Rattus norvegicus: one gene and its partners. The protein of the gene in region 2 interacts with the protein of the main gene of each other region in a pairwise test. Links are inferred from orthologs where the notes say so. Each region holds a gene or a part of one and is shown on either strand. Other genes may lie near its edges. The genes, in order: Dydc1, Ushbp1, Cops4, Ccdc116, Sertad3, Parvg and Ccdc120.

Region 1 (4,091 bases), about 1.1 Mb from region 2:
CTTAAGGAAAAGTTTGGCTCCAGGGTTGGGGCAAAAAAAAATATAAGCAGCCAGAGACAGTTTATTATGCCAGGAAGTAAGACTCTGACAATGTAGACACAGGAGCCATCTTGAAGGCTTATTCCAGTGCTACATTTTTGCTTCCACAGGAACCCATAATCTCAAACCCGGAACCTGTGGATGTTATGTTGTATGATAAAGGGGGCTTTGGAATTGTGATTAAGGATCTTAAATAAGGAGTGTGTGTTATACAAGCGGGACCTCTCAGTTACTTTTCTATTGGTGGTGAAGAGATACCACGATCAAGACGGTTTACAAAAGAAAGCACTTAACTTGAAGCTTTGCAGTTTTAGAGGGGGAATCACAGCCGCCATGGGATTGGGAGCATGGGCACAAGCAGGCACGGTGCTGGAACAGTTCTCAAAAGCTTGTCTTCACGTTGGAGGTAGGGGCAGACAGAGCGAGCCTGCTGTGGACTTTTGAAACCTCAAAGTCCACCCCCAGTGACACACCTCCTCCAACAAGACATCTCCGAAGCCTTTCAAAAGAGTTGCAGCAACTGTCAACCAAGCATTCAAATATCTGAGCCTCTCGGGCTCATTCTCACGGAAAGCGCCACATAGGCACAGCTGTAATTGCCAGAGGTGTCAGTAAGGCCAGACGTGGAGGGTGGCAGAGTGACAAAACACATGGAAGAAGGAGCATGAAAGTCAAGATCATGTCCAGAGACAGCTTCTAGAAGTCAGAAGACAGGGAAACGGAACATACAGAAGGGTTTGTGTGGATTAAGTTTTCCACATCCCTGCTGCTTCATGTGATCGGACGAGGAGTTGTTGTTTGGTGAAGTGCAACTTCCGATATCTTAGATTGAATATATGTGTGGCTCGACGAAATCCCCAGTGCAACCCCCAGTCACTGATCCTCTCGCTATTCTCGTAGAATCCCAGCACAGAATCACCAATGCACTGCCAGAGCGTCTCTCCATGCCTGGATTACTGAGTGACTGCTGCACTGCTTAAACGCGACAAGCCCTCTGAGGATACCACCCCTGGCACTTGTCCCACATTCAGTACCGAGTAAAGATGTCTGAGTGCTCTGATGTTGGGGGCGGGTGGGCAAAGGAAGGGCTCAGACTCTGTTGATCCATCAGCGTCCCTTCTTGCATTTATGCAAGCCTCTACCACCGAGCAATGCCAGGCCCATTGTTTGCTTTTTGTTGCTCTGGTAAACACTATGACCCGGGGGGAGGGGGGAAGAATTTATTTGGTTTACAGATTACACTCAGTCTATCATCAAGGAAAGCCAAGCCAGCAACGCAATGGGAGAGTGAGCGTGAAACAGTAACCATGAAAGGAAGGCTTTCGTTCTCTGGCTGATTCGGCTACCTTTTCTACACAGCCCAAGCCTGCCTTCTCAGGGACAAGCACTCCCCATAGTGGACATATGCCCATAATTAGCAACCAAGAAAATGCCTCCCAGACACGCCCACGAGTCAATCTGATGGAGACAATTCTTCATTTGAGATTTCCTGCCCCCAGGTATATCTAGGTTTGTGTCACATTGACAAGAACTAACCACGCACACCAGGGGAGAGTGCAAGCTAGAGCCTGGTGGAGGGTGTCTTTGGGCTAGCTGAAGTTGCTTGTGTGTGAGTTCACTCTGATATTTTGGTTGTGAGCCTAGCCTTTAACGGCTGAGCCATCTCTCCAGCCCGTGAGTTCACTCTGAAAGGTCTTAAAATTACCAAGCCAACAAGCCTGCAGCCTTGAAAGTGTCTCTCCTGACTTCAAAGATCTGCTGCTCCACAAGGCTCCTATCTAAGAAGAGTCCCCGTGTCTGCTGGGTTCCTCCCGCTGTTTCTCCACAGTGTTTCCTTTCCCATAAATCTGGTTCTCCCATCTGCGTGCCCCCTCCCCTACAGTGCGCGTTCCTGGCTCTATCGAGAGTGCACCCCCTCCCCTAGAGTGCGAATTCTCCTTTCATTTCCCTTTGCCTCCACTACTTGGGCTGCAATGGAACCTTAGCTCTACACTAGAGCGTGCTCTCGTTGCCAGGCAACGGGACGCGACTCACTGGCGTGTGGCCAGAACGTGCATCGGATGCGTGCACCAAGGAGGCTGGAGCGTTTTCCTTCGAACCGGCCCTCTAGTGTCTCTGCAGAAGCAGTTCTAAAATTTTCACCTTGAGAGTCAAGTAGGTCTCAACTCAGAATCCGAGGGAGGGTTAGTTCTCCTGTAAGAGCCTTTGGAGCGCAAGGACTCCTTCTCCTTCCTCCTCTCTTCCGGCTCCTCCTCTTTCTCTTCTTCCTCCCCCCCTCCTTCTCCCGCCCTCTAGCCACCCAATAGGAAAACTAATCTAAGTGTCTAGGTTGGTGGCTGCCTGATTGAAATTTACTTTTAGATAAGCAGGTTACTTGCTAGCACAAATATATATAAGACAATTATTCATTGTTTCTCAGAAATTAGGTCTGCGGTGGTTTTGAGTGCCGAATCCAGCACTCTTCCCAGGTCCTGGCAGAGAACCTCCTCCATTGTCTCAGAGCAGCTGCTCCAGATGTTTCTGTGGGAGCGGACTTTCTTCTGTGAAGCTGGATGAGCACTGGTGTTTGCTGGGAAATAACACTTCTTAGGACAGAAGAGATGGCTAGTAGTTTCCTAACCTGACCAGGAAATGTATGTTGCAGAGATGACAGAGGGACCTCATGAAAGCCCCACGGAGAACGCTAAGCAGCTGCCAGAGCCCCAGATCCTATGTTTTTGGAGCAGCAGGAAGAGTGTATTCCATGTTGTATATAAATGACACTGATACGTCCATGTGGTGATCTTATCTATAGAGAATTTCCCACAGAAGAAGCACCGTGAAGACACAGCCCAGTCAGTTGCCGTGTTTGTCTCTCTGTGATTAGGACACCAGTGCCAATCTAGTTGGAAATCAGCGTATTTGTGCCAGCTCCAGTCGTTCTTAGGGCTACACTATACATACACGTGTATATTCCTTTGGAAGCAGGAGCAATTTCTACATCTCCCTTTTCCTCCTGCATTGTGCCTCACTAGGAAACCACTGCCTATTTTAGAGAGCATTTCCAGCCCCTTATATTGTGGCTGGATTCCATGGTGTTGTATGTAATTGATCCCCTGCCAGGACATTCAGACAGCACTTTCAGTCTGACTATAATAATAACGTGTGAATAACCACGTTCACATGTCACTCCAGTCTTGAGTCTGCACCTTTGAGACAGGAGTCGAGAACTGCAATGGTGAACATATTCTGGTCTTTTAATCTCATTGGGTCACAATTCTGGGCTTGGGTGGGATCATTTGTTTGGTCTGTTATCCTATATAACTATAAATAGAAATAGTCACCCTAAAAAATACTCACGTATCTGCCTTCATACCTGAAAAGACTGGGGAACAGCTGAGAGTAGGCACACGTTTGATTACTTGCCACCATGGAGAGACAGCAGGGCACACACATGCGCATGCATGCACACACATACTAACACTCTCTTATACACTTTGTAGGCAGCATGACAAGGGCTGTATGAGCTACTTGAAGTAGGAGAAACTCCCTTGTACTGCTTGACAAAACTCCAGAGCCAGACATGATCTGTGGCTCGAAGGAGGAGGTATGTTCCAAGAGTAGAGAGGAAAGGATTATTGAGATGGGAAAGCACAGTGTGATAGCTAGAATATGGCAGGATATTCAGTGGGGTAAGAGCCCAGGATATATGATGACAGGGACGTGCTTGAGGTGAGTCTTAAGGGAAGCTGTGGTGGTTTGAATATGCTTGGTCCAGGGAGTGGCACTGTTAGGAGGTGTGGCCTTGTTGGAAGAAGTGCGTCACTCTGAAAGTGGGCTTTGAGAGCTTCTTCCTAGCTGCCTGAGGAGGATGCCAATCTTCTCCTGGAGGCCTTCACATTAAGATGTAGAATTCTCAGCTTCTCTCCTGCAATGCCTGCCTGGATACTGCCATGGTCCTGCTTTATGGATAATGAACTGAAACTCTGAAAATGCAAGCCAACCCCAATTAAGTGTTGTCCTTATAATAGTGGCCTTGGTCACGGGCACTGACTAACACAGAAGCTGATACC
Region 2 (3,941 bases):
TCTGAAAGCTAAGCGCTGAGCCACGCCCCTAGCCCCTCATTGGAGTATTCTACGCTGTCACTCTACCCTGAGCCACGCCCACAGGCTGACGAGGATTCTTAGCAGAACCAGCTAGGGCTCTGTTCTGTTTTGAGACGATTGCCTATCTTTTCAAAGCTAGTACTAAATTATGATCTTCTCATCTCAGCCTTTGAAGTCCTTATCATTACAGGCTTGTCCTATCACATCTGGGTTTAACGTCACCCATAATCTGTAGGTTTTTTGGTCACCTCTACTAAACGCCCCGAGCCACTGCTGTCGCCCCTCCTCCACCTTCAGGATTATGGTCCACCGCCAGACTGTTCCTCTCACAGGCATCAGATGGCGCAAGTGAACACCTGCAGCAGGGTTCCCCTCAGAACCCACCACACACAAGAACACAGTTGTAAATCCTGCCCAGCCTTCAGCACCCTGCGTACTGTGACCTTCCCCCACGTGCCTTCACCTCTCCCACTCAGTTCCAGCTACAGTGATCTCAGGAGTTGTGCTGGTTCGTGTGAACTTGACTTCAGCTAGAGTCATTCTGGAAGAGGGACCACAATTGAGAAAATGCTCCCCCAATTGGACCTGTGGACATTTTCCTGACTGACGATTGATGGGGAGGGAGGGGCCAGCCCATTGTGTGTAGTGCCATCCCTGGGCAGGCTGAGATAAGAAAGCAGGTTGAGCAAGGCATGGAGAGCAAGCCAGTAAGCAGCACACCTCCATAACCTCTGCCTTCAAGTTCCTGCCTGAGCTTCCCTCAGTGACAGAGTGAGGCCTGAGAATTTTAAGATGAAATAAATCTCTTCCTCCCCAATTGCTTTTGATTGTGGTGTTTTATTACAGCAATAGAAACCTTAAAACAAATCTGGCATAGCTCACACCTTTAATCCCAGCACTAGGGAAGCAGAGGCAGGGGGATCTCTGTGATTTCGAGGCCATTCTGGTCTACAAAGTAAGTTCAGGACAGCCAGGGCTCTGTTACACAGAGAAACCTTGAATTGGAAAAAAACACCACCCCCAAGATAAGATTTGTGTCTGTCTGTCTGTCTGTCTGTCTGTCTGTCTGCGGTGCAACTGACACAGACAGGGTCTGTAACCCAGGCTAACCTTGGACTCAGTCTACAGCTGAGAAGAACGTTGGTCTTAGCCAGGGCTCGCCAGAGTAGAGATTGTCCCTCTTGAGCTTCCTGCGTGTTAAGATCGTGGGGTGCAGACTGCCGGTCTCCCTTGCTCCCCCTCTCACCGCGCTGTCTTTATTGGTCACTTCCTTGGCACATCTGCCACTGCTCCACCCACGTCAGTGTCTACTCTCAAAGCAGGATCTGCCTCTTTCCCAGTCACCAGCTCACCTGTCTCTGCAGAGTCTCATTCTCTGCCTGGGCGTCCTGCAGTGAAGCCTGAGTCCGCGCCAGTTCCTCCTCCCGGGTGCCCAGGGCCAGCCGGAGCCAGGCGTTCCTCTCTATGAAGTGCGCTGCCTCCTGCTGTCCAGGTCCAGAGGCTTCTTCCTCATTACCAAAAGACCCCGGAGCTCCCGGGTCTCTGTCTTCTGCCTCCACTGGCTTTGAAAAGCTTAGCGAGTGGCGGCGCCAGGCAGCTACAACTGCCTCCAGGGAGCTCAGCCTGCACTTCAAGGTCTCATACACATTGGGTGCTGTTATCTCAGCAGGGCCAGTATCCAGAGGGGCTTCTTGCAGGGCCTGGTGGGCTTCCACCTCAGGCTCGCGCCGTTCTTCCGGGCTCAAGGGTAGGACCCCATGGGATCCCACATCACAATCCTCCTTGATCCTGTGAGGATAATCAGGAACCCTAGCCACCTGAGACTCAGCAGAGGCGGAGGGCTGACCCCAGGGTCCCTAGGAAGGCTGAGCAGGGACTGAGCTTCATGGCTGGAGGGTAAAAAGGAAGAGGAGAGAAGCGGGCAGGGGAAGCTATGGCAGGTGAGCAGCTGGAGGCAGTTGAGTATGGGCCCCGGCATCCTACCGGTTCCCAGGGCCCTGCAGGCTAGGACCAAGATGTTCCTGAAGCAGCTCAGGTTTAGTCTCGAAGCTCCCATTGGTGGTATCTACCTCCTCTGAGCTCTCAGCTACTGGGTCCAGCTCCCCCTGTGAATGACACTCCCGTGCATGTGCGGGTGCGTACACACACACACACACACACACACACACACACACACACACACACACACGGGCTCTTGGTCATCACATCCAGCTCTCCCTGTGGAGGTCTCCCCTGTACCACAACAGGTTCTGAGCCAAGCAGACCTGGGTTCCCAGGATCCATGGGCTGGGTGTGGCAGGAAGAGGGGCACACTTACAGGCAGAGGATGCCTCCCTCGCCGGCTTCGGGGTCGTGTGGCCCGGGCACTCATTACTCTTGTCACTACAGCCTGCTCTCAGTTCTTGCCTTTTGTTACCTTGGTATCCTTGTTTTTTGTTTTTTCCTGTAGGAGTTTTGGTTCGTTTGAACTGATTGACACATTTAAATATTTAAATACCTCTCCAATAGTGCCCACTGTTTACTTGTCTCCTCCTCCCCGTCACCCATCTCTACCGGGCATTCCTTTTCCCTCCGCTGTCTGAATTCATTTCTCTTATCTGTGCCCCCTCTCTTCCCTATGGAGGCATTGAGTGGTATCCTAAGATTTCTCCTTCTTCCCACGACTCTCTTAGTACCAAACTCCCTCACCCTGGGGATTGGCCCTGCGGCCCTCTTCTCTTCTTCTCCAGGGCACCTTGGGAAAGGTCTGAACTCCTAAGAATATCTCAGGCCATTCTGGCCACTGGCTACTGAGGCTGCAATGGCCAAAGGTGGCCTGGGAGAGGCTGAGAAACAGGAAGCTCCCTACCCTGATCACATGGACAGTTATTGTTTTGTTTCCTTCTCCAGGATGCCAGCTTCCTCCAGAACAGGAAGAGGATGGAGGACCAGGACCTTTGTCCCACTCCAAGATATCAGTATCCCCTTATCCCAGCCCAAACATGTAGTGCCTCCATTTTTATTTTGGATTTTCTGTGTCCCCCTGTTCATCAGGGCTCGCTCTAATGTGAAGGTCTTTTTAAAATTTTATTTTGTGTCTCTAAAAACAAAACTAAGAGAGTTGGCTCCAGCACTTGCATAGCTTTTATTTTTCATTATTTATCTTTGTCTGTGATGGTACTGCTTGTCTCCGAGATCGAACTCAGGTCGTCAGGATTGGCGGCAAGAGCCTGCACCTGTTCAGTAGCCCACAAGGTTTCTCTTCAACGAGACTGAACTACTGCATCAGGCCGTTGGAGTCACCGGCGACAGTGAGCTTGTCCACAGTGGCTTCTTTACTTTTTCTTTCCATTTGGTTTTCACACAGCGTCTCATATAGTCCAGGCTGTCTAAACACCCGATCTTCGTCTTCGGGCCTCTGGAGTGTTGGGATGACAGGTGTGCACCACCAGCTCGCATCGCGGAACTAGTGAATGAATACCAGCCCAAGTCACATAAGTAACTGAGAGGGCCCTAGGCAAGTCCAAGCCAATTCCTACCCCGTCAATCATCAAACGGCCCCGCCCAGCTCAATCTCTTGTCCTATCACAGCAGAGGCCTTGAGAACCTTAGTGTGATTAAGCCCGAACTACAAATTCCTCTCAGTTTTGCTTCAGTTCACCACGGGTCACACCCACTCTCAATACTACCCCTCCCTCTTCAGCCCCATTCCAGCCCGTTACACTCCAAGCTACACCCCTAGAACGCCTCAGCCTATCAGCTTCCACGTCCTGAAGGCCACTGAACTACATTTCCCAGAAGGTAGCACTTCCGGTAAGGAAGATGGCGGCTTCCTAGAGACCTGATTGACTGGCCCCGGTACCCAGGCAGTGGAACCTGCGGCGGTGTGAACGCGCGCGAACTTTGTGTCGCCGCGGTCTAACTTCGACTCGGCTTGCTGC
Region 3 (3,500 bases), on a different chromosome or scaffold from region 2:
AGTGTGGGGTTTCAATTTCCCTGTTATAAAGTATTGAATTAAGAAAAGTACCTTAGCTGCAGGGATCTCTAAAAGAGCTCCGAGTTCCTCAAAGGTGATGTTGTTATATAATTTGCTTGCTGACAACAAATTATGCTCAATAACAGCTCTGTCCAAGATGCTGGAACCTTAAATAAACATAAACAAACTCATTAAATGTTTGAAACTAATTTTTTTAAAGATTTATTATTCTCTTTTATGTATATGAGTAGACTGTTGCTACTTCAGACACACCAGAAGAGGGCATTGAATTCCATTACAGATGGTCCTGAGCCACCATGTGGTTGCTGGGATTTGAACTCAGGACCTCTGGAAGAGCAGTCAATGCTCTTAACCACTGAGCTATCTCTCCAGCCCCTTGAAACTAGTTTTATACTGTAAAAAGAAATACCTTTATTTTTATTTCTAGACATGTAATAATCAGCTTTTATACCTCTAACCAACACTTACTAAAACTCACATTTGATATTATATTATTGTTGTTGTTGTTGTTTCCAGACAGGGTTTCTCTGTGTTGCCCTGGCTGTCCTGGAACTCACTCCGAAGGATAGCTTCAAACTAAGATCTGCTTGCTTCTGCCTTCCAAGTGCTCAGATTAAAGGTGAGCACGAATATATCGGGGTATAGTTACAATTATACTTTACATACAAAATATAGTATTAGTGTGATAGCTAATCTCCAGTAGTCAGTCACCATGGAAACACACCTCTGGCAGTGTCTGTGAAGGTGTTCCCAGACAGGTTTAGTTTAAGAGCGATGGGCTATCGTGAATGTGGGCATGCCATTCCCTGGGTTGGGGTCCTAGACTGAAACGGAGAAAGCCAGGGAGCACCTGCACTGCTCTGCGTCCTGCCACCTCACACAGCTGCCCTCATGCCCTGCACACCATGGTGTCTGTATTCTCTCTCACACTGTGAGCCACAATCCCTCCTGACTTCAGCCGCTCCTGTGAGGAAGTATGTCAGGGAGGAAGGCACACAATGAGTAGCTGGTGAGCAATGGCTAAGGACGGATGGACTGCACTGGGCTCTGCTCCTGGCTGACAAACTCATTAACTTTTCTTTCTCTGCGTCGAACACAAACTTACCAGCAACAGCAGCACAACCATCATGCAGCCACAGGAAGCCTCACCAGTCTTTAAGGTTGGTTTCATTTTGATTACGAGTATTCCTGGTGGGCTGAGGTGGGTACATGCAGAGCATCATGTCCCCTCTGTGGCAGAATCACACGCCATGAGATGTGGGAGCTGAAACCACCCCGGGGCTTGGGAGAACAGTACACATTCTTACTGACAAGAGCCATCTGTAATGGGCTCTCACGCCCTCCTCTGGTGTGTCTCAAGACAGGGACCGTGTACTCATACGCATACAATAAATGACTGTTTTAAAAGAAATGAGATTGTGATCTAAAAAAAGAAGCCTGTCAGCTCAGGGCTGGCTCAGCTGAAGGCAGCAGACAGGCATCCTGTCACTGAAGTCACTCTCTTCAGAGAACCTATGGAGCCGACTTTTCTCGTGGCTAAAAAGCTCAAAGTCAAACTGAAGATACTAATTCTGTAAACTTTCTACCTAGCTTTTAACTAATTTGTATATCACTTTTTTCAAATCATGACTGCTTAGACTACACAGAGAATTAAAAATTCAAAAGTTAAAACAAAACAAAACAGGAGGATCAACTCTGATTAAAGCCCATGCACACTACTCATGGTTGGCCTATGAATTTAATTTTTCTATAAGTCAAGCAAAATAAAAATCAATTTATCAATTCAGAATGTGTTTAAGATAAAACTAATTGCTCAGAAGAACCAGAAATAATCTACAACCATAAAGAAAATTTTCCTGAGGTGCTTAAGAAAATTCTATGAAAAATAAAATCTTGGCTTAGAGATAAACTCTGCATGTTGCAAGCACGGGCTGCTCTTGTGGAAGACCTGAGTTGGTTCCCAGAAGCCACACTGAGTGACTCAGCGGAGCTCATAACATTGACCCATTTCTTCTGGCCTCCCAAGACACCTCCATGTTCCCGACACATACTGACACACACTTATACACAGGAATAACAATAGAATCCTTAAAACTAAGACTGAGGGACTGGAGAGATGATTCAGTGGTTAAGAGCACTGGCTCTTCTTCCAGAGGACCAGGGTTCAATTCCCAGCACCCACACAGCAGCTCACAACTGTCTAACTCCTGTTCTAGGGGATCTGACACCCTCACACAGACATGCATGCAGTCAAATCACCAATGGACATAAAAATAAATAAATAATAACCTAAGATTGAGTAAACTGTCACCTTTCAGGTAGCCTAGTGAAGACAAATGAGTCCTCACGACTAATTTCTCCTTGGACAGGGCGATGGTGAACCCAGGGAGTAAGCCTAGCTGACACCCGTGCTGACACCCATGCTGTGCATGGTTCAAGATGGTCACAGCTCTACATTTAGTATCATGGCCATGTTAATATGGTACTTTAAAACATCTTAGACAAACATACATAAAATAACCTCTATTATGAATAAGAAAATGTTAAAAACACTTTTTTTTTCCTGGCAAAGACATTCTGATTTAAGCAAACATAGGAAAGAAAACCTATTCTTTTTTTTTTTTTTTTCTTGGATATTTTACGTATTTACATTTCAAATGTCATCCCCTTTCTGCCTCTCCTTCCCCTCACCCTCATCCTCACCCTGCTTCAGTGAGGATGCTCCCCTTCCTACCCACCCACCACACTCCCCACGGAAACTCATCCTCATTTGCAGCATTTGACCCCAGGGAACCTTGGGCAAGCTACTGAGCTAAGTTTTACTCTTAATCAAGAATGGACAATTATGTCCTCACAGTCTGCTATGAGTGTCACTTACCAAGCTTTAGCTATTTAAAATCCAGGTGCCCCACATACATACACTCTGTAATTTTTTTCACGAGTTTTAAACAGACAAACAAGATTTTTTAAAGAAGAAGTGTTATTTCATAAAACGCTTTCCAATAGGGATTATTTCAGATTATACCACAAACCCACGCTGGTGTCTAATATTCATCATCGGTAACAGTCCTCTTTTTATTATCAGGAAGTACTGCTTGGAAACACTACTGTAACATACTCTCTACTAATCTACCCTAAATATTCCCTGCTACACACATGCAAGATGTGGCCATTACCATCAGCTGTGGTTGCTTTTTGGTGAGGCATCAGCATTGCAGCAAATTCTTGAAGCTGGTTCCCTCTGATGATCCTGTCTAGGTACATTTTCTCCAGGATCCCATAAGCAGCCAGTTGCTGGCACCTTTCATCCTTAAAAAGGGTAGCCAGCATCCGAGAGCGCTGCTGTCCTAGGGAAACAGAGGGTCAAATGTTCTAAGTGTTTCTTTAATGACAAAAAGAATCACACTCTACGATCCTATCTTTGCCTACTAAAATACAGACAATCCCCTTTAATATATATGTAGTATGATATGTAGTAT
Region 4 (4,176 bases), on a different chromosome or scaffold from region 2:
GGGAAGGAATGGGGAGAACACAGGGAAAGGGAAATGGGAGTGGAGATGGCAGGGAGTGGCAAGACTATGCTGGACCTGGCCCCTGAGTTGGCCCTGGCAGGAGGCCACCTCCACTGTGATCCCAGGGGCAGGCAGGGTGAGGTGCAGGCCATGGCGGGGCTGAGGTATATGGTTGTGGTTTGAGGCTGTAGTTTGTTTCTGCAATTTGAGGTCAGAGTTAGGAGACTTCAGCATGCACTGGGATGAGGGGATAGGGACATTAGAGACTTCTGTAGGTGTCACCTTGAGCCTGAATCTGGTAGCCATCTGGACTGCATTAGATGGGGAGCCCCTTCTGTCCTTGCTTTTTCTGTGAGATGTCTTAGGGCTGGAGGCCGAGGTGGGAGAATAACAAGTCTCTCCCCTAGCCTCCCTGTCGGTGGGTAAGGAAGCCTTAGAGCTGGGTTGAAGATCGGAGTTCCCAGGAAACACTGGAGACAGCTCTGAGGTAACAGGGAAGAGGGGGAAGCCATTGTGGCGGCAGGCATGGCTCAGCTTGTCTACAGCCTGGCTGACCACACGCTGCAGGGCTGGAAAGAGGTGGTGCTCAGACAGGAAATCCAGGGTACGATGGGGTTCCCTGAGTGGACAATAGGTAGGCAGGTTGAAGGAGGTTGGCTGGTTCAGCAGTGACTTTATCTCCTTGTTTAATTCTTGTTTGAGGAAAATCATCTCTTGTTCTCCGAGTCCCAACTCTGAAGTTTCAGGGGTGACTGAAGTGGAGGCCAGAAGCCCAGAGAACCAAGACAGGGGCTGTTCCCGGGTCGGCTGACTGCTGCTCTGGCTGCCCAGTGAGTCCCATAGCAGGGAATCCCTCTGGGAGCAGTGTTGATTCAGAACTTTCTGCAAAGAGAAAGAAAAGCTAAGAGGGATCCAAGCAGGCGGAGCCCTAGCCGCTAATCTCACGCCCACCTTCTGCTAGCCTTAGCCATGGCACCAGACCTCACCCCTTTGCTTTCCAGTCGTAGCAGCCTCTTGAGGTTTTTCTCAAGCAGGAGTTTGTCCCTCATGGGTGGCAATGAGCCTACGCCTCTGGCACCCAGGTCACTGTCTTGGCTGCGGGACCCCAGCCATCCAGCTGTGACGCTGCTATGGGAGTCAGACATGGAGCTGGAGCAAGATGGGTAATTGTTTGGGTGTCCAGCACACAGCGTGGGCCGAGCACGGTGCCGATGCACAGTGTTGATGCTGGGTCTGCCTCGAGAACGATGCCTACTATTTGGCACCTCCACTCGGTCTTGTACATCCACCAGTGGCACTCCAGCCTCTGTCTTCATGGTAGCCACACATTCTGTTGCCTGCTCCACGACTGTCTGCAAGCTGTCCAGTACCTGACCCTCCGTGAGGAAATCCAGGAAGCCACCAAATGCCCGAGGGCGCCTAAGGTTTTGCTGGTGGCCCTGGCGCTCTGAGTATCGGTTCATTGATGGTAGGTGTGGTACACGCCCAAGCTTGCAAGTTGGCCTCATCTCTGGCAACAGATGCTTCTTGGGCAGCTATATTGGAACAGAGAGGGTTGTCATAACAGGCAGGATGCCCTGCAATGGGTGAGGAGCAGTCCTCCCGGGGTGCCATTAGGAGCTGGTTGGTATTGAACAGTGGAAAACTTTTTTCTTTAAGGTTTCTCGAGGCTAGGAATTAAACCCAGGGTCTTGAACATGATATGCAAATGTTCAGCCACTAAATTACACTTAAAATTTTTTTCAACAATTACTTGTGGGTACATGTGCATGTAGGTATGCCTCAGTGCAGGTATGGCAGCCAAAGGACAATTTGGTGTGACTGGTTCTCTCCTTTTATTATGTGGATCTTGGGGATAAACTGATCATCCCCAAGTCAGATCATCAGTCTTGACTCAAAGTGCCTTCACCCACTTAGATACTTCACCAGCCCTGAGTTACATTTTAGAATCGGGTAATCCTGAGTTTGAATCCCAGCCAGCTCTGCTATCTTCAGGATCTATGACTATGCTCACAACAGCCCTTTTCGAGGGCTTCTCTTCAAATTACAGGTCTATTAGGGTTGCCCTGAAGGTTTCCCAATGCCTCTATTTCATATATGCCAGCCCTAGTTGGGAGTCTGAAAGTGGAGTTCTGTGTTCGTGGTATGAAAAGGCAATTATGGGAGCCCTCCGCCCTCAGGCTCTAGCAAAGGTCTACACTGTCTTCATTGCTGTGCTACACTTGAGGACTCGATTCTGTGTCTCCAGCTTGAGTCCTGTACGCTCCTTCTCAGGGCTCCTGGTCCACCCAAGTACTATCTGGGGCCAAGGGGAGTGGCTCAGCAAGCAGGCATAAGGTAAGGCGACGCTACAGTAAGGATTTCACCAAGTGACCCAGTAAGATCAGCTGGACATGAGAAAGCAGCAGCAAGTGGTGGGTCAGCTGGATATACTTACCCGAGCCACATAGGTGCCGTGAGCAGCCTCGTCGTCAGCCAGATAACCTGAGTGGTGGCGGCACCTTGCCATGATGTGGATAATTAAATTTGTTTTCTGCTTCCTTCTTCAGGTCCTACAGCACAGATGCAGACTCCTCTGTATGGGGCGGAGAGAGGAAGTAAAGTTAGGTCCAGGCCTCCATGGACCCCTCATTCCCTGTACTTGTGTCCTCCAGACGTCCCAACTTTCCCTGCTTGGACTGGTCACTTATCTGTGGACATTCCCAAGTCACTGCCTTTTGTTTGCAACTGTGTCTGGGTCCAAATGTGTGTCCAGACTTCTTTCTTTCAGACCTGAGGCATCCTGGAGCCCCCAACCTGCTTACCAGAGTCTCTGCTGTGCTTCTAGGGGTTCACTCATTCAGCACCCTTTAAAGCTCTACCGCACAGTGCACTGGAATCCTACCCTCGCAGCCTCCCAGGATGCTCATTTACATACCTCATCCTGATTGGCCAGAATCTGGCCTCTCATTCACTATCCTCCCCGACACAATGGTTGGGGGAGGGGCCCAGATTGGCTCCTCCCCCACCTTGCTGGATTTTTAAGTCAAGCCAGCTAAGTAAGTAGCGCTTGGGGATGGTTATAGATAAGACTTTATTCAGCCAAGAGGTCTGAATCTGGGGCTTGTCTAATCCTCAGGGTGAAAGTGATAGCCTCAACTTGTTATTCAAACATCTTCCTCAGCTCATTCCTGGACCTCCTACTCGTTGTCTTCCTCTTAGGACCCCATTCCCTCATTGGTGCAGCGTGGACTAGCCCCTCATCTTCCTTTTTAAGTGAAGAGTCCTGGTTTTCTGCACAGCCTAGTTCCTGTCCCTGCTTTTTCTTGCTGATATGACTTAGTCCCTTAACACCAGCTCCTCATAATGGAGCTGAGCACCCTTCCACAAATGAGTATTACAACACATTTTGCACCTTAAAGTCCATATAAACTCACTTCTACAGTTTTCCTTCTCCCTTCATCCTAGAAAGCCTGTCATTGCCAACATATCCACAGCAAGTCCATCCTCCACTGCCACATTGTTTCTTTCTTGTCTAACAGCTGTACTGTTAGGCCGTGTAGGGCAGGAATCAAAGCAGTGAACCCTAGTCCCTAATAACTCCATTCCTCATACATAAAGTAAATGCTTAATTTTCTCTTCCCAATCTGTGGTTCTCAGGGTCCCATGGCCTCTGGCCTTCCCAAGAGCAGCTTCTCAGAGAGGCCCAGTGGTTGAATGACACTGGATGGTTCAGCAATCACTATGATCAGACACAGCAGTGTTTATGCCAAGAATTTGGCTGAAGCGTTCTCCGAGGCCTCCAACCATTACAAAGCATCATCAGGTACTGTTTTTTGTTTTGTTTTTTTTTTTTTGTTGTTTTTTGTTTTTTGTTTTCTTCTTCTTTTTTTTTTTTTTTTTTTCGGAGCTGGGGACCGAACCCAGGGCCTTGCGCTTCCTAGGCAAGTGCTCTACCACTGAGCTAAATCCCCAACCCCATCAGGTACTGTTATAATCAAACTCTCTCCCTTCTCCCGTGATGCAGGGATCAGATAGGATCGATGAAACCAGAGCAGGCCAGGCTCCAACCTGTAGAACAGAGTTTCCTGCTCCACCTCTCTCATGAACCTTCAGGTTCTGTGACTGTAAACAGTAGTAAATTACCAATATCATGGGCTTGAACCAAGAAACAGACATCCTATAATGAAAGCCCAA
Region 5 (4,148 bases), on a different chromosome or scaffold from region 2:
CCGTGGATGTATCCAGCTCCCTGAGGATAGAGCCAATGGTGGTGGACAGGGAGAAATCTTCTTCACCCAGGAAGAGCGGCTCTGGGGGCAGGGCTGGTGCTGGAGCTAGGCGAATGGCAGCCTGGAGCTGCTGGAGCGTGTTGTGGATAAGGACGTGCCTGCGGAGGCTGGGTGCTCTGGGGCCCAGGCTGCGCTGGACTTTGTCCAGAGAGATTCGGAGCAGGGCTTGCTGGTAGCTCCGAAGAGCAGTTGGACTCCAGTCCCACTTCTCATCCTCCTCCTCCTCTTCCAAATCAGAATGTTTCCTCTTTAAGCCTCCCATGTCCTGTGGGAAAAGGGAGTCGAGTCAGATACCTTGGGCTCCCACCTTTTCAAGTACGCCTGTGCAGCTATGCGAAGTGTGTGTGTGTGTGTGTGTGTGTGTGTGTGTGTGTGTGTGTGTATCAGAACCTCTAAAGTGCACACAGTCAGAATCCGACAAGGCTAAGAATGGGTGAATTAATGCATTCGATGTGACTGAGAGAACAGGAAGCAGGTAGGGTTGTTGGGGAGGGGGGGCAGGACACAGAGGAGAAGCAGGCAGCAGTGAGGGTGGAGAGATGCCTGTAACTGTAACCTCTGTATTAAGGAGGCAGAGAGTTCAGAGTTCAAGGTCATCCTCAGCTAAGTAGTGTCTGAAAAATAAAGGGAGCTTGAGAAATTGCTGGGTTGGGGATTTAGCTTAGTGGTAGAGCGCTTGCCCAGCAAGCGCAAGGCCCTGGGTTCGGTCCCAGCTCCGAAAAAAAAAAAAAAAAAAAAAAAGAAAAGAGAAATTGTTGAGTGTTTACGAGCATTGGCTGCTCTTCTAGAGGACCCGAGTTTGATTCCCAAAACCCACACGGATGGTTCATAACTGCCTAAAATTCCACTTTGGCTTCTCTTGGCCTCCTTTGGCACCAAGCACACACATAGTGCCCAGACAAACATGCAGGCTAAACACCCATACACATAAAATTAAAAATAGGAAGATATACAGAAAACAGTTTGCGGATGGTGTTCTATGCCATTAATTTCAGCACCCAGGAGGCAGAGGCAGAGGCAGGTAGAATTTTGTAAGTCAAGAGCAGTCTGGTGGACATACATAGCCAGTTTCAGGCCAGGCATAGTCACATGGTCAGACAAACCTTTCTCAGAAAAACAAAACCCCTAAAACAAATCACAAAAACACCTGAGCATAGCTTGAATATCACTTACTCGTAGGCACAATGTTGAATTGACGCTATGGTAATCAATTTCAACATTTGGAAAGTGAAGATCTTAACTCTCGTCTCAATAGATCTTGATATTGTCTTTCAAGACACTGTGATCTTGGCAAGATCTGGTGTCACAACTCTGAACCTCAGGTTTTTGTTTTATTTTGGTTCTAATCTAGACAGGGTTTCTCTGTATAGTTCTGGAACTCCCTATGTGGATCAGGTTAACTTCAAACTCATATCGTACTTCCTTTTCCACCTCCCTGACAGCTGGGATTAAATATGTGTGAGACCACGCTCAGTTGCGTGTTGAAATTCTTTTTTTTCTTCTTTTTTCAAGAATATTTCTGTCCATACCTGCTTCCTTCAATTAAGTCTAGGACCTCTCAAAAGAGGGAGCCTTTCCCAAACTCCGACCCAAAGGAAAGCCAACTAGAACGAAACTAACCTCAAACTGCACCCTCTAGCGACCAGTCCAACCAAATCTTCTCTTTTAGGCACCGCCCTTCCCTGGTTCGCTAGACCAGAACCAAGAACACTTCAATGTATCCTCGGGGCCTTCTGGGAACTGTGGACCCAGAGCCGCCAGGTAGAGCTTCTGTTGTCGCGTTCAAACTACAATCCCCAGAAGGCCCAGCACACCCAAGAGGCTGGACAGACCCGCCCTCCCTGAGCATGCGTACTGGAGCTCCAGCGATGGGGGAAGGGAACCCGGACCTCCAGCAGCCCAGTGGCCGCCGAGCCCCGCCCTCTACTGCCTTCGGGGCGGCGAATCTGAGCTCCACGCCCCAGCGCCCCTCCCCCACCAGACTTCAGTCGGAAAACCTGCTTTCTCTGGGTCCCTATCACCCCAGAAAGTTCTGGACTCTTCCCCAAACTGTCCTCGGTGTGCAGAGACTCAAACCCCATCACATCGCCCAAAGACGATAAATAACTCTCGGGTACATAGTTCCGCTGGCGAAACTGGGTATCCCAATTCTGAGACCTTGTCCCGAACCTCCCCTAATTCGGCTGCACTTTCAAGTGACTCTGGGCTTTACTTTCCAAACTCCCAGCCCGGCTCCAAGACCCCGTCAGTAACTCTCTCCGGCATTCCCATCTCACGACCGCGTCTCAGAATCCAATGCTCAATGCCTTTAGTTCCCGGGTCCCTCTAAATGCTTCACATCTTAGCCTTGAAACGTTCTCTTTCTCCAGAACACCGTTCAACTCCAGACTCAGCCCGTTCTTCGAGACCCAAACTGTCCTATTCTCCGATTCGTGCCTCCAAAGTTCTTTCTCCGTTCTTCTGCTTCTCCAGACTCCAACTCCTTCTGAATAATACTGCTTCCCCTTCAGTACTGATGCTGGAATTCACTCTCCAGCCTTCCACCATCCAGTGCCCATCAGTCACACCAATCTCTCTCCACTCGGGATACCCCGCTTCCGCCTACCACGGGAGCGCGCCCCCCTCCTCCTCTAACTCCAGGAAAATCTCACACAGGCGGCCACTCCTCACCTCGGCTGCCAGGGTCGCCACGACTACCTTCGACAAACCTGCAGCGTTGAGTCCCACCAGTGCTGGGTAGGAGTCCGGCTCACTTTCCCCGGGCCTCTGGGTCTGGCCCGGGGCCACTCGGCTCCTCCCCGGAGTCCAGTCGCAAGCCACGATTGGTTGGAATCCTGCCCGCCGCGGGGCACCATTGGCTAAGAGGAGCCACGGATGCTAGGCCCCGACCATCACTGGGCCGGGTCCGGTTTAGGTTGGCTACTGGTCAGGGGGCGGGGTGGAGTCTCCATGGTGGAGGTGGTAACGCCGTCAGAACTGCTACTTTGGACCCAGCTATGTTTCTTACTCCTCTGTCTCACTGCAGACCCCTTATACCAGACTCCACTGCGGAGTAATACGGGGTGACACCATTCTCCCCTCCCTTGCGGTTTTGCAGGGTGGGCAGCTGCTGGAGGCCACGCCCCCCGGAGTTCCGAAGGCTGGGTGAAACCGGAGGGCGGGGGAGGGGGCATGACGCACCAGACAGCAGCCAATAGAATGATGCGGCTTGCGTTGCCTGAACGACCGCAGCCCTGCCCCTTAGCTGGCGGAGCTCTGCCTCCCCAACCCCAACTTGTTTTGTAGGCGGAGCCTGTGCTTTCTCTAGAGGGGTCTGTGGCTTGTTTGGTGGGACTTCCTGGATCCCAGGCAATTCCATCCTTCTTCGTATTTGTCTGCCTGTTGCTGCTCACTCCTCATGGCTGCCCGCAGCTCTGGGAACAAACTCAAACTTACTTCTTGTTTTAATTTTGGGGGTTTATCATTTGAGCCTTTGAACAAGCACCGTAGGACTGAGCTAAGATTTAAAATTTTGGTTTTTTGTTTCTGTTTTTGTTTGTGTGTGTGTGTGTGTGTGTGTGTGTGTGTGTGTGTGTGTGTGTGTGTGTGTGTGTGATAAGGTTTCGTAGTGAAGGGTTGACTTGCTTTTCACTCTTTGGTCTCTGGTACCCTCCTTCCTGTTTTCTAGGATTCACTTTCGGGTTCTTTTTGATTCAGGCAGTCTCGTGAAGCTGGACTCCAGTGTAGTAGACAATGCTGGTCTTAAAATTCTAATCATGTCTCGCTTCTATCTCCTCAATCCTGGAGTTGCAGGTGTGTACCTTCAGACTCGGAAATTTCCCCCTTTTGCTTAGTTTTTTGTGGTGTTGGGAACGGAACACCGAGCTGGTGCTAGCCAGAGTCCTCTATCACTGAGATACACCACCAGCTATTTTTTTGTTTGTTTTCTGAGACAGGGTTTTGCTCTGTATCCTAAGCTGTTCCGGAATCTTGTACCTTCCTACTTCGGTTTTCTGGTGCTAGGATTTAGGCATTCACCACCGTGCTTTCAGTTTTTCTAAGATGGCTCCCAATACCTTCTAAGAAATAAACACAGGACTTTTCTCCCT
Region 6 (3,500 bases), on a different chromosome or scaffold from region 2:
GGACAGAGAGGAAGGGCGCTAGAGTCTCCATGGGCAGTGATGCATGGTGCACATTCAAGGCAAGAACACCCTGGCACTCAACAACTCCCTGGCCTGTCATTTCTCATCCCTCTTCCTGGGGTCAAACTTAGCTGCCTGCCTGGACTAAGGGTGTCTTTTGGCAGCTCTGGGATCCAGGGTCCATATGAAATGCCTTGCCTACCAAACCTGCCCTGTCCAGTCCCTGTAGCCCTCGTGAACCACAGACTGCTCCCCCCAAAGCATTCCTGCACCTCTGCTGAGTCTGCTCCCTCATTTCAAGACATCCTCCATCTTCCTCAATTTTTTAAAACAAACCCCAGCCAGCACTGTTCTCTTGCAGTCTCTGCCCAGCACACCAGAAGCTAGTGCCTTGCCTTGATGTCCTGGAAGGCCACCACCCCAAGAGAACCATGAGTAGACACGGAGGAGCTTGAAAGCCAGAGTCATGAGGGACTGTCCTGTATACTGAACAGCATGGCATGGCCCTAAGCAGACCCTTGGAAAGTGGGAGTCCAGTGCACAAATGCCTGAGTAGGTGGGTGGGTGGGTGAGTGGGTGAGTGGGTGATGGGTGGTTAGGTGAGTTGAGAAAGGCAGATGGGTAGATATGTAAACAGACAGGGAGGTGAGCTAGTAGATGGACAGATGTGTAGAAAAATAGATGGGTGGGTGGATGGATAGATGGATGGATGGACAGATGACAGATGGATGGATAGATGGATGGATGGATGGATGGATGGATAGGTAGATGGGTGGGTGGATGGGTGGGAACATGATTGATGATGGATTAATGATGGATGGATGGATGGGTGAGTGGATAGATGGGTGGATGGGTGGATGGGTGGGTGGATGGGTGGGGACATGATTGATGATGGATTGATGATGGATGGATGGGTGAGTGGATGGATGGGTGGATGGGTGGGTGGATAGATGGGTGGGTGGAGGGATGAATTAATGGATGAGTAGATAGATAGATGTATAGGGGATATATAAATATGTACCTAAGTGTTGGATGAGTGGATGGGTAGATACACTGGTGGGTGGAGGTAGGTGGATGACATCCATGGATGGCTGAGTGGATAAATGAATGGATGAACATGTGGATGGGTGGATGAGTGGGTGGATTGATGGGCAAATGGGTGTGAAGGTAGATGGGTAGACAGGCATATGAACAAACTTCCTTCCCACTTTCCTCATTGCTTGGAATAGAAGAAAGAATGTCAGCCAATGTCATAAATCTGTCTACCCCCCCCTCAAAGAAGGCCACGGAGGAAGATTTCGGAAGCTTACCATCTCTGTGGGAGAGCTGGGAGTGAGATAGAATTCCTTCAGATGCAAGAAAAAGCCTTCTAGCTGTCCAATCAGCAGAAGCAAGATGACGCCATCTGCAAACTGCAGGAGTTGTGTTTCAGTCTGTTATCTCGATAGCACGCTGAGCACACTTGGGCCCCAGCTGGTGCATTGTCATGGATTCTTTACAGGTAGAGCCTGGCTATAGGAAGTAGATACTGGGGTACAGCAGATTAGTGGCTAAAGTCTCCCTGGCTCTCTCCTGCTGGGCTCTCAGCTTCCTGTCCATCATGATGTGAACAGCTGTCTTCCACCAGACACCCCTGTCCCCATCATATTCTGCCCAAGCATGTGAGGCCAAGCAAAGAGACCAAACATGAACTGTAAGCGAGATAAACCCTTCCTCTTTGTCACAGTGACTTATAAGGGACTAACAAGGGAAATGAACCAGGGCTGTGAAGTGGGGGGGGTGCTGACATTGGAGGGGTTCCACTCTGCCTCTTGTATGCTGTGTGTGCTGAAAGAAATCACACCACCTCTCTGAGCTTCACATTCCTTTTGAAAAGTGGGGTTGGCATTCCCAGCTCAGGGGGTTATCAATAGTTGCATGAAGCAGTTTGGGCTCTCTCTCTCTCTCTCTCTCTCTCTCTCTCTCTCTCTCTCTCTCTCTCGTGTGTGTATGTGTGTGTTCGTGTGTGGGCAGGGGCATGTGGAGGCCAAAGGACAATTTAGGGTGCTATTCTAGAAAAAGTCCACCTATTTGGGGGCAGGAAGAACAATCCTTCACTGGCTCACTGGCTTGTAACTTGCCAAGTAGGCTAGACTGGCTGGTCTGGGAGCCCCAGGAATCCTCCTGCCTCTGCCTCTGCCTCCCCCATGCTGGGATTAAAGATGTGCCAGGGCCTGGAGCAATGGCTCAGTGGTTAAGACCATTCTCTGCTCTAACACAGAACTTGGGTTTGTTTCTCACACGCAGCAGCTCACAATCATCTGTGACACCAGTTCCAGGGAGTCCGACACCTTCTTCTGGCCCCTTCGGTAATCAAGCACATATGTTGCCCATACATACATGCAGGCAAGCACTCATACACATAAAAAAAAAAGGACACATGTGCCACCACACCCCAGGGATCTGGCTTGCCAGGAAAACACTTCACCAACTGTGGCACCTTCCACCACCACCCCCAATTGTGTCTATTTTTAAATGACAAGTTATTCCACGGACTACAGATCCATGTGTGAAAACAGAGTTAGTATAAAACTCTCCCATCAGCAAAGGAAAAGAGGAGTACACGGGCCCATTAATATTTCTGTCTGTTCTGTCTGCACGGTCTGAGATAACGCCGCAGTGAGCACGTCAAATGCTAACATAATCCGGCTGAATCTCTTTGCTGTGAAAAGACGCTGTTCTGTCTTTAATGGAATTTCCCCTGATTAAGTCTGTTCTGGTGTTATTAGTTTGGGCCTGGAAGCCACTCTGCTGCTGTCCCCAAAACATAGCTGAGAAACCTAACTCTGAGGCCTCCTCTACCATCCCAACATGTCTTCTGTCCTCGCTCACTCACTCTTGTCTAAGCAGAGAAGAGAAGGCTGCCAGAAGTGGGCTGTAAACTTGAGATATGCGCTACGTCTACCCAAAGAAAATACAGTCGGAGATGTGTTGCTTGGGGAAAGTCACAGTGAGTCAGGTGACATGGATGTTACTGAATAGCAATGACACACACACACACACACACACACACACACACACACTCACACTCACAATCCCGTGAAAGAATTACTCCCACTTTATAATGCATGGAGCCTGAAGTTCAGAGAAGTTCAGTAAGCCAGCCAAGGTCACACAGCCAATGTGGACATACCCTCAGAGCCCAAGGGCACCCAGTGGCAGGCACAAGATGGAAACTCATACGCATATGGCTCTGAAGTCTGTGTTCACCCCAGCATGTTGCCAAGGCACCCACAAAGCTCACATGGCCACCCATGTGCAGTTGCTATGAGTGGATACTTGGGCCCCAACTGACTCTGTCCAAACCCTAGGACCACTACTTAATTGCTATGTGACCTTCAGTAAGTGACCTAGCCTCTCTGTCCCCCTGAGCCCTTAATAGTGTCATGTATTGAATGGGACTTTGTGAGTTCTCACATGAAACAGAGGTGGGGGAGAGGAGAGTGGGGAAAGCTGCAGAG
Region 7 (3,998 bases), on a different chromosome or scaffold from region 2:
TAGACAGAAGCCCACCTGCTCGAGAACTCTAGTGGGAGGAGGCAGGGAGCTCTGTTCACAGCAGTCCTAGTCCCGAGACTCTATGTGGTCCATTCTGTTGAGGCAGGGTGGTGGCTCTGGAATGGAACAGGCTGGGCACGGGGACAGGAATGAACCCAACCAGGAATGAGCTCAGTTTCCCTTTTATAAAACACCGAGTGTTGGGCAAAGACAGTGAATGCTAAATCACAAGTGTAAACAGAAATGGAGGAAGAAGCAGTCGCCACACCGTTATCCCCCTCTTTGAAGCTAGCTGGGGCCCTCCAGACCCCCAGCACAGGGTAAGAAGAAAAGCAGGGGTATCAGACATCTTCCCGGGCCAAAAGGAAGCCAGGGGTCCTGTGAGATCAGGCAGTTGTCCCGCAGGACCAAGAACAACCACATCTCAGGGCTCAGCGAGGTTGACTGTGTGTGCTCCTCAGACTGGAGTCTGTCTGTCCAGACCGACACAGGGCTTAGGGTCAGACCAGTGTCCCTGGGGTCTGGGTATCAGAACTGGAAGACTGCTCCCCCTCTAGCGTCAGGTCACTTAAACGAGCGCTCAGCTCCGGGGGATACAGGAAATCCGTGTAGTATCTTTAGAAAGGACAGCAGGAATCCGGAAGACAGGTAGGGAGGACAAGGTAAGAGAGGAAAAGACGGATAGGACACACACAGAGAGAGGAGAAGAGCTTGTTAAAGAGGTGGAGACAGCTACAGGATAGCACCTTCAGGTTCTCAAGCATGGAGTAAGCTTGGAAGAGAAAGCCAGGGAGAGCATGAGTCCCTTCCTCCCAGCACCCTGACTTCAAGGCTCACTGCCAGCTGCCCCACACTATGGAAAACAGAAAAACCCTTCTAAAGCTTGGGAAAGAACTCCTGCCACCAACACCCAAGATCCTCCTCCTCAGGACCCCAAGGACTAATAAAAGTTATGTCTGACAGTGACCCCATGCCAAGACTACAGCTCATTTTCTTGTGGTCCCGACACTCAGCAGCTATGGTGACAAAGTGCTCCCTGGTCAGGATACCTTCAGCATCTGTAGCAATACCCCTACCCATCAGTAAAAGCACCCCCATACCTGCCAGAGACAGGGGGCGCTGTAAAACTCCTGGAGTGCGGGAGCGGTGCCTGGCTGGGAGGGCCGTACAATGACTGGCCCACCTCATAGCAGCGGGCATGGAGGAAGGGTGTGTGTGTTGGCCCCACGTGCGGGAGCATTGGCCGGCGCTGGGGACCAACGGCCAGTCCCGAGTTCCGGATGTACCAGTCCCGCAGCCCCTCCAGGGCAAGGTTCTTGTGGCCACCTCGCTCACCAGCTGGAGGTATCCGGGTGGGTGGGGGCATCCAGAGTAATGGGTTTGGATGCACTTCCAGACCCTCCACGGCTTCTGGGGGCAAGCCACAGGGCTTGGAACGGATGGCACGGCTGTTGGGGTCCTTGCTGCGGAGGAGGGGGCTGCTACCATCAGCTGCATATATGGGTGGAGGACCTGGGAGCATGGCAAGGAGCCCGTCTCTGCGGGAAAGGGGTCCTGGAACTTCAGGAGCAGGCAGCAGGTCCCCCCAACCGGCCCCGCCACTACCGCGGGGCAAGCCTCGGTCCAATGAGTAGTCCAAGAGGAAGTCTCCACACACAGGTGGGAGCCGGGGGGGCCCACGGGATGCAGGGGCAGCCGAGCTAGGTCTGGCAGCCCGAGGAGGGTCTGGGGGGCCAGTGGTACGGGAAGAGAAAGAAGGGACTGGTTGGGGGCGCTCATACAGCACCTCACTGCTCTTGCAAACTGGGGGACCAGCAGCAGGGGGAGCCAGCGGAGCAGGTGGTGATCCAGCTCCCCCAGCAGCTGCACGGTCCACCAGCAGGGCCTCAGAGCTATTGCTGCGGCGCGTACGAGCTGCGAAGAGAGAGGCCCGATCCGAAGCAGGGTCAGGCCGAGGAAAGCCCATCTGGGAGTCCTGACTACCGGACCACTGACGAGGATGGAGGCCTTCGGGTCTGGAGAGCAGAGGTGAGGTAACAAGGGCAGGGTCAGACAAAGAATGCAGATGATGAGCGCCCTGGCTGCCCCATCTCTTTCTGAGCCCCCCCCCCCCTTGCTCTAAAATGGGACCAGTATTAGGAGCTGCCTTCTTATAGCGCTGAGCAGTGCGTGTAATGTCATGGGCCAGTGAAGTTCGCTCCCGCACAGGGAAGCTGGCGCATAGGGCGTGAAAATGTACACCAGGATGGGGTACACGCTCGTAGGGTTACGTAAATGTTTCTGGGAAGGAAGCAGTAGCTAAGGAAGGGCACACCCAGGTACTGTTCTGTTACCCAGGGGCTCCTAGTCTCCCCCTAAGGTTATCCTTATGGCTCCTTGTTACCTCCTGAAGGAAGTCCTAGGCCTTATGCCTGGAACTAAAGGCCTTGCTGAATTCTAACCCACCACGCCTATGAACCATCCCCAAACAACTGTCCCACCATGCACAGAATGTAGGCCCTCTAAAACACGAGGCTTCTGTTCACGGCATGGGAAAAATAGACATGTTTAACATTTAGGAAACATTATAGTATAGTGCTTCGAGGCTGACACTAGATTCCATAAATTTCCATGGGTTCAAGCATGAGAACTTCGGTTTGCTCACAGGTTACCTAATTAACCTTTCTGTGCTTCATTTTCTACATTTATAAAATGCAAATGACGGCATCTCCTCAGAGGGGTCTTAGAATGCGAGAAGGAGTTACTATCCGCCACGAATGCTATCAATTATTAGCAGACAGTAGGCATTTGCACATGCTACCCAACATGCACTGTGCCCGTGCCTTTCAAAGGCAGATATCACACTCCACAAATGAAGAGACAAAGATTCAGAGAAAGAAAATGGCATCCAAGAAAACACGGGAAAGCCCCACTTTCACACCTCTGCCTCCAATTCCCACTCCAACTTCTATCCGCCTTTCAAAGGCCGGCTGCCCAAGTCCCACATCTTCGGGTAATTCAACATCTACAGTTAGGACTACAGTCTTCCTCCTCTCATATTCAGACCCACCCTCAAGAGTCCCCTTACTTGCAGAGCCGGGGGCCACTGCCCCGGGTGAGGACAGGGGTAGCAGGCACACTTCGCCCCTCAAAACTGGAGGCACTCCTGGGCAGCGAGCGTGTGGGGCTAGACAGAGATGGCAGGCCCACATCGGGACCCAGGTTAGAAAGTGGACCCACCAGTAGGCCCTCCTGCCAACCCAGGCTCAGGATCCCACTCTTGGTCCCGGGAAATGGGAAAACGGGTTCCTCTTTACCTGGTGGGGCTGGCCACAGAGTTGCGCCGGCTCTTCAGGTCCCCATAAATATCTGATGGCGGAGGTTTCCATGGGGCACGTCGCTCGGGGCTCCCCCCAGATACCGCCCGAAACTGGTCCCAGGCTTTTGGTGGGGAGGGGCGCTCCGTTAGAGGGAAGCAGCTATGAGGCTCTTCTGGGTAGAAGGAAAAATAAGGTAAAATTCAACGAGAGGGCCCAAAGGGGCAGAGCAGGCTCAAAGGGGAGGGGCATGTGAAGGGGAGGGGCATGTGAAGGGGAGGGGCATGTGAAGGGGAGGGGCATGTGAAGGGGAGGGGCATGTGAAGGGGAGGGGCATTGCTGGGATAGGCTTCAACAAGCTAAAGGATGAATGATGCAAGGCAAAAAAGGTAATGTAGAGACTGACCTGTAGGGTCTGGGGCAGAGGAAGGCAGTGAAAGGAGAAACTAAGAACACATAGGGACATGGGGCGCGGCTAAGGAGGAGCTATAGTAGGAGGGGCTGAGCACAGGTTAAGGGAATAGTTCTCACCATTATCATGGCTGGCACCTGACTCTGAGAGGGAGCTGCTCTCCGAGTGCAGAACTACATCCTCTACAGGTGAGAAATGGAGAAGCAAGAGATCAGTCAAGGTCTGGGTTCTAGCTCCTTATACCACTGGATATAGGCACTTCTGTGTAGCCTACCTAAGGACTACTGACT

The links.
Region 1: the proteins of Ushbp1 (region 2) and Dydc1 interact in binary tests that used the Homo sapiens proteins (3 or more experiments, as listed by UniProt). The two-hybrid records come from large-scale screens. The link is inferred for Rattus norvegicus from reciprocal best matches to the Homo sapiens genes USHBP1 and DYDC1.
Region 3: the proteins of Ushbp1 (region 2) and Cops4 interact in binary tests that used the Homo sapiens proteins (3 or more experiments, as listed by UniProt). The two-hybrid records come from large-scale screens. The link is inferred for Rattus norvegicus from reciprocal best matches to the Homo sapiens genes USHBP1 and COPS4.
Region 4: the proteins of Ushbp1 (region 2) and Ccdc116 interact in binary tests that used the Homo sapiens proteins (3 or more experiments, as listed by UniProt). The two-hybrid records come from large-scale screens. The link is inferred for Rattus norvegicus from reciprocal best matches to the Homo sapiens genes USHBP1 and CCDC116.
Region 5: the proteins of Ushbp1 (region 2) and Sertad3 interact in binary tests that used the Homo sapiens proteins (3 or more experiments, as listed by UniProt). The two-hybrid records come from large-scale screens. The link is inferred for Rattus norvegicus from reciprocal best matches to the Homo sapiens genes USHBP1 and SERTAD3.
Region 6: the proteins of Ushbp1 (region 2) and Parvg interact in binary tests that used the Homo sapiens proteins (3 or more experiments, as listed by UniProt). The two-hybrid records come from large-scale screens. The link is inferred for Rattus norvegicus from reciprocal best matches to the Homo sapiens genes USHBP1 and PARVG.
Region 7: the proteins of Ushbp1 (region 2) and Ccdc120 interact in binary tests that used the Homo sapiens proteins (3 or more experiments, as listed by UniProt). The two-hybrid records come from large-scale screens. The link is inferred for Rattus norvegicus from reciprocal best matches to the Homo sapiens genes USHBP1 and CCDC120.

Annotation. Positions count from the first base shown.
Region 1 is NC_086034.1:16,973,741-16,977,831, forward strand, and holds the start of Dydc1 (DPY30 domain-containing protein 1), read left to right. Parts: upstream 1-1,291; 5' UTR 1,292-1,538; intron 1,539-2,039; exon of another isoform or gene 2,040-2,294; intron 2,295-4,091. UniProt on the Homo sapiens protein: Functions as part of axonemal radial spoke complexes that play an important part in the motility of sperm and cilia. Plays a crucial role during acrosome biogenesis.
Region 2 is NC_086034.1:18,099,068-18,103,008, forward strand, and holds the start of Ushbp1 (harmonin-binding protein USHBP1), read right to left. Parts: upstream 2,801-3,941; 5' UTR 2,710-2,800; intron 2,465-2,709; 5' UTR 2,393-2,464; coding exon 2,339-2,392; intron 2,127-2,338; coding exon 2,005-2,126; intron 1,810-2,004; coding exon 1,374-1,809; intron 1-1,373.
Region 3 is NC_086032.1:9,389,108-9,392,607, forward strand, and holds part of Cops4 (COP9 signalosome complex subunit 4), read right to left. Parts: intron 3,369-3,500; coding exon 3,198-3,368; intron 168-3,197; coding exon 52-167; intron 1-51. UniProt on the Homo sapiens protein: Component of the COP9 signalosome complex (CSN), a complex involved in various cellular and developmental processes.
Region 4 is NC_086029.1:97,348,401-97,352,576, reverse strand, and holds the start of Ccdc116 (coiled-coil domain-containing protein 116), read right to left. Parts: upstream 2,801-4,176; 5' UTR 2,691-2,800; exon of another isoform or gene 2,687-2,690; intron 2,578-2,686; 5' UTR 2,510-2,577; coding exon 2,438-2,509; intron 1,536-2,437; coding exon 987-1,535; intron 883-986; coding exon 1-882.
Region 5 is NC_086019.1:91,889,793-91,893,940, reverse strand, and holds the start of Sertad3 (SERTA domain-containing protein 3), read right to left. Parts: upstream 2,801-4,148; 5' UTR 2,731-2,800; intron 2,725-2,730; exon of another isoform or gene 1,681-2,724; intron 326-1,680; 5' UTR 323-325; coding exon 1-322.
Region 6 is NC_086025.1:117,346,187-117,349,686, reverse strand, and holds part of Parvg (gamma-parvin), read right to left. Parts: intron 1,413-3,500; coding exon 1,311-1,412; intron 1-1,310. UniProt on the Homo sapiens protein: Plays a role with ILK in promoting the cell adhesion and spreading of leukocytes.
Region 7 is NC_086039.1:17,440,219-17,444,216, reverse strand, and holds the end of Ccdc120 (coiled-coil domain-containing protein 120), read right to left. Parts: intron 3,891-3,998; coding exon 3,828-3,890; intron 3,472-3,827; coding exon 3,297-3,471; intron 3,167-3,296; coding exon 3,068-3,166; intron 2,016-3,067; coding exon 1,101-2,015; intron 616-1,100; coding exon 501-615; downstream 1-500. UniProt on the Homo sapiens protein: Centriolar protein required for centriole subdistal appendage assembly and microtubule anchoring in interphase cells. Together with CCDC68, cooperate with subdistal appendage components ODF2, NIN and CEP170 for hierarchical subdistal appendage assembly.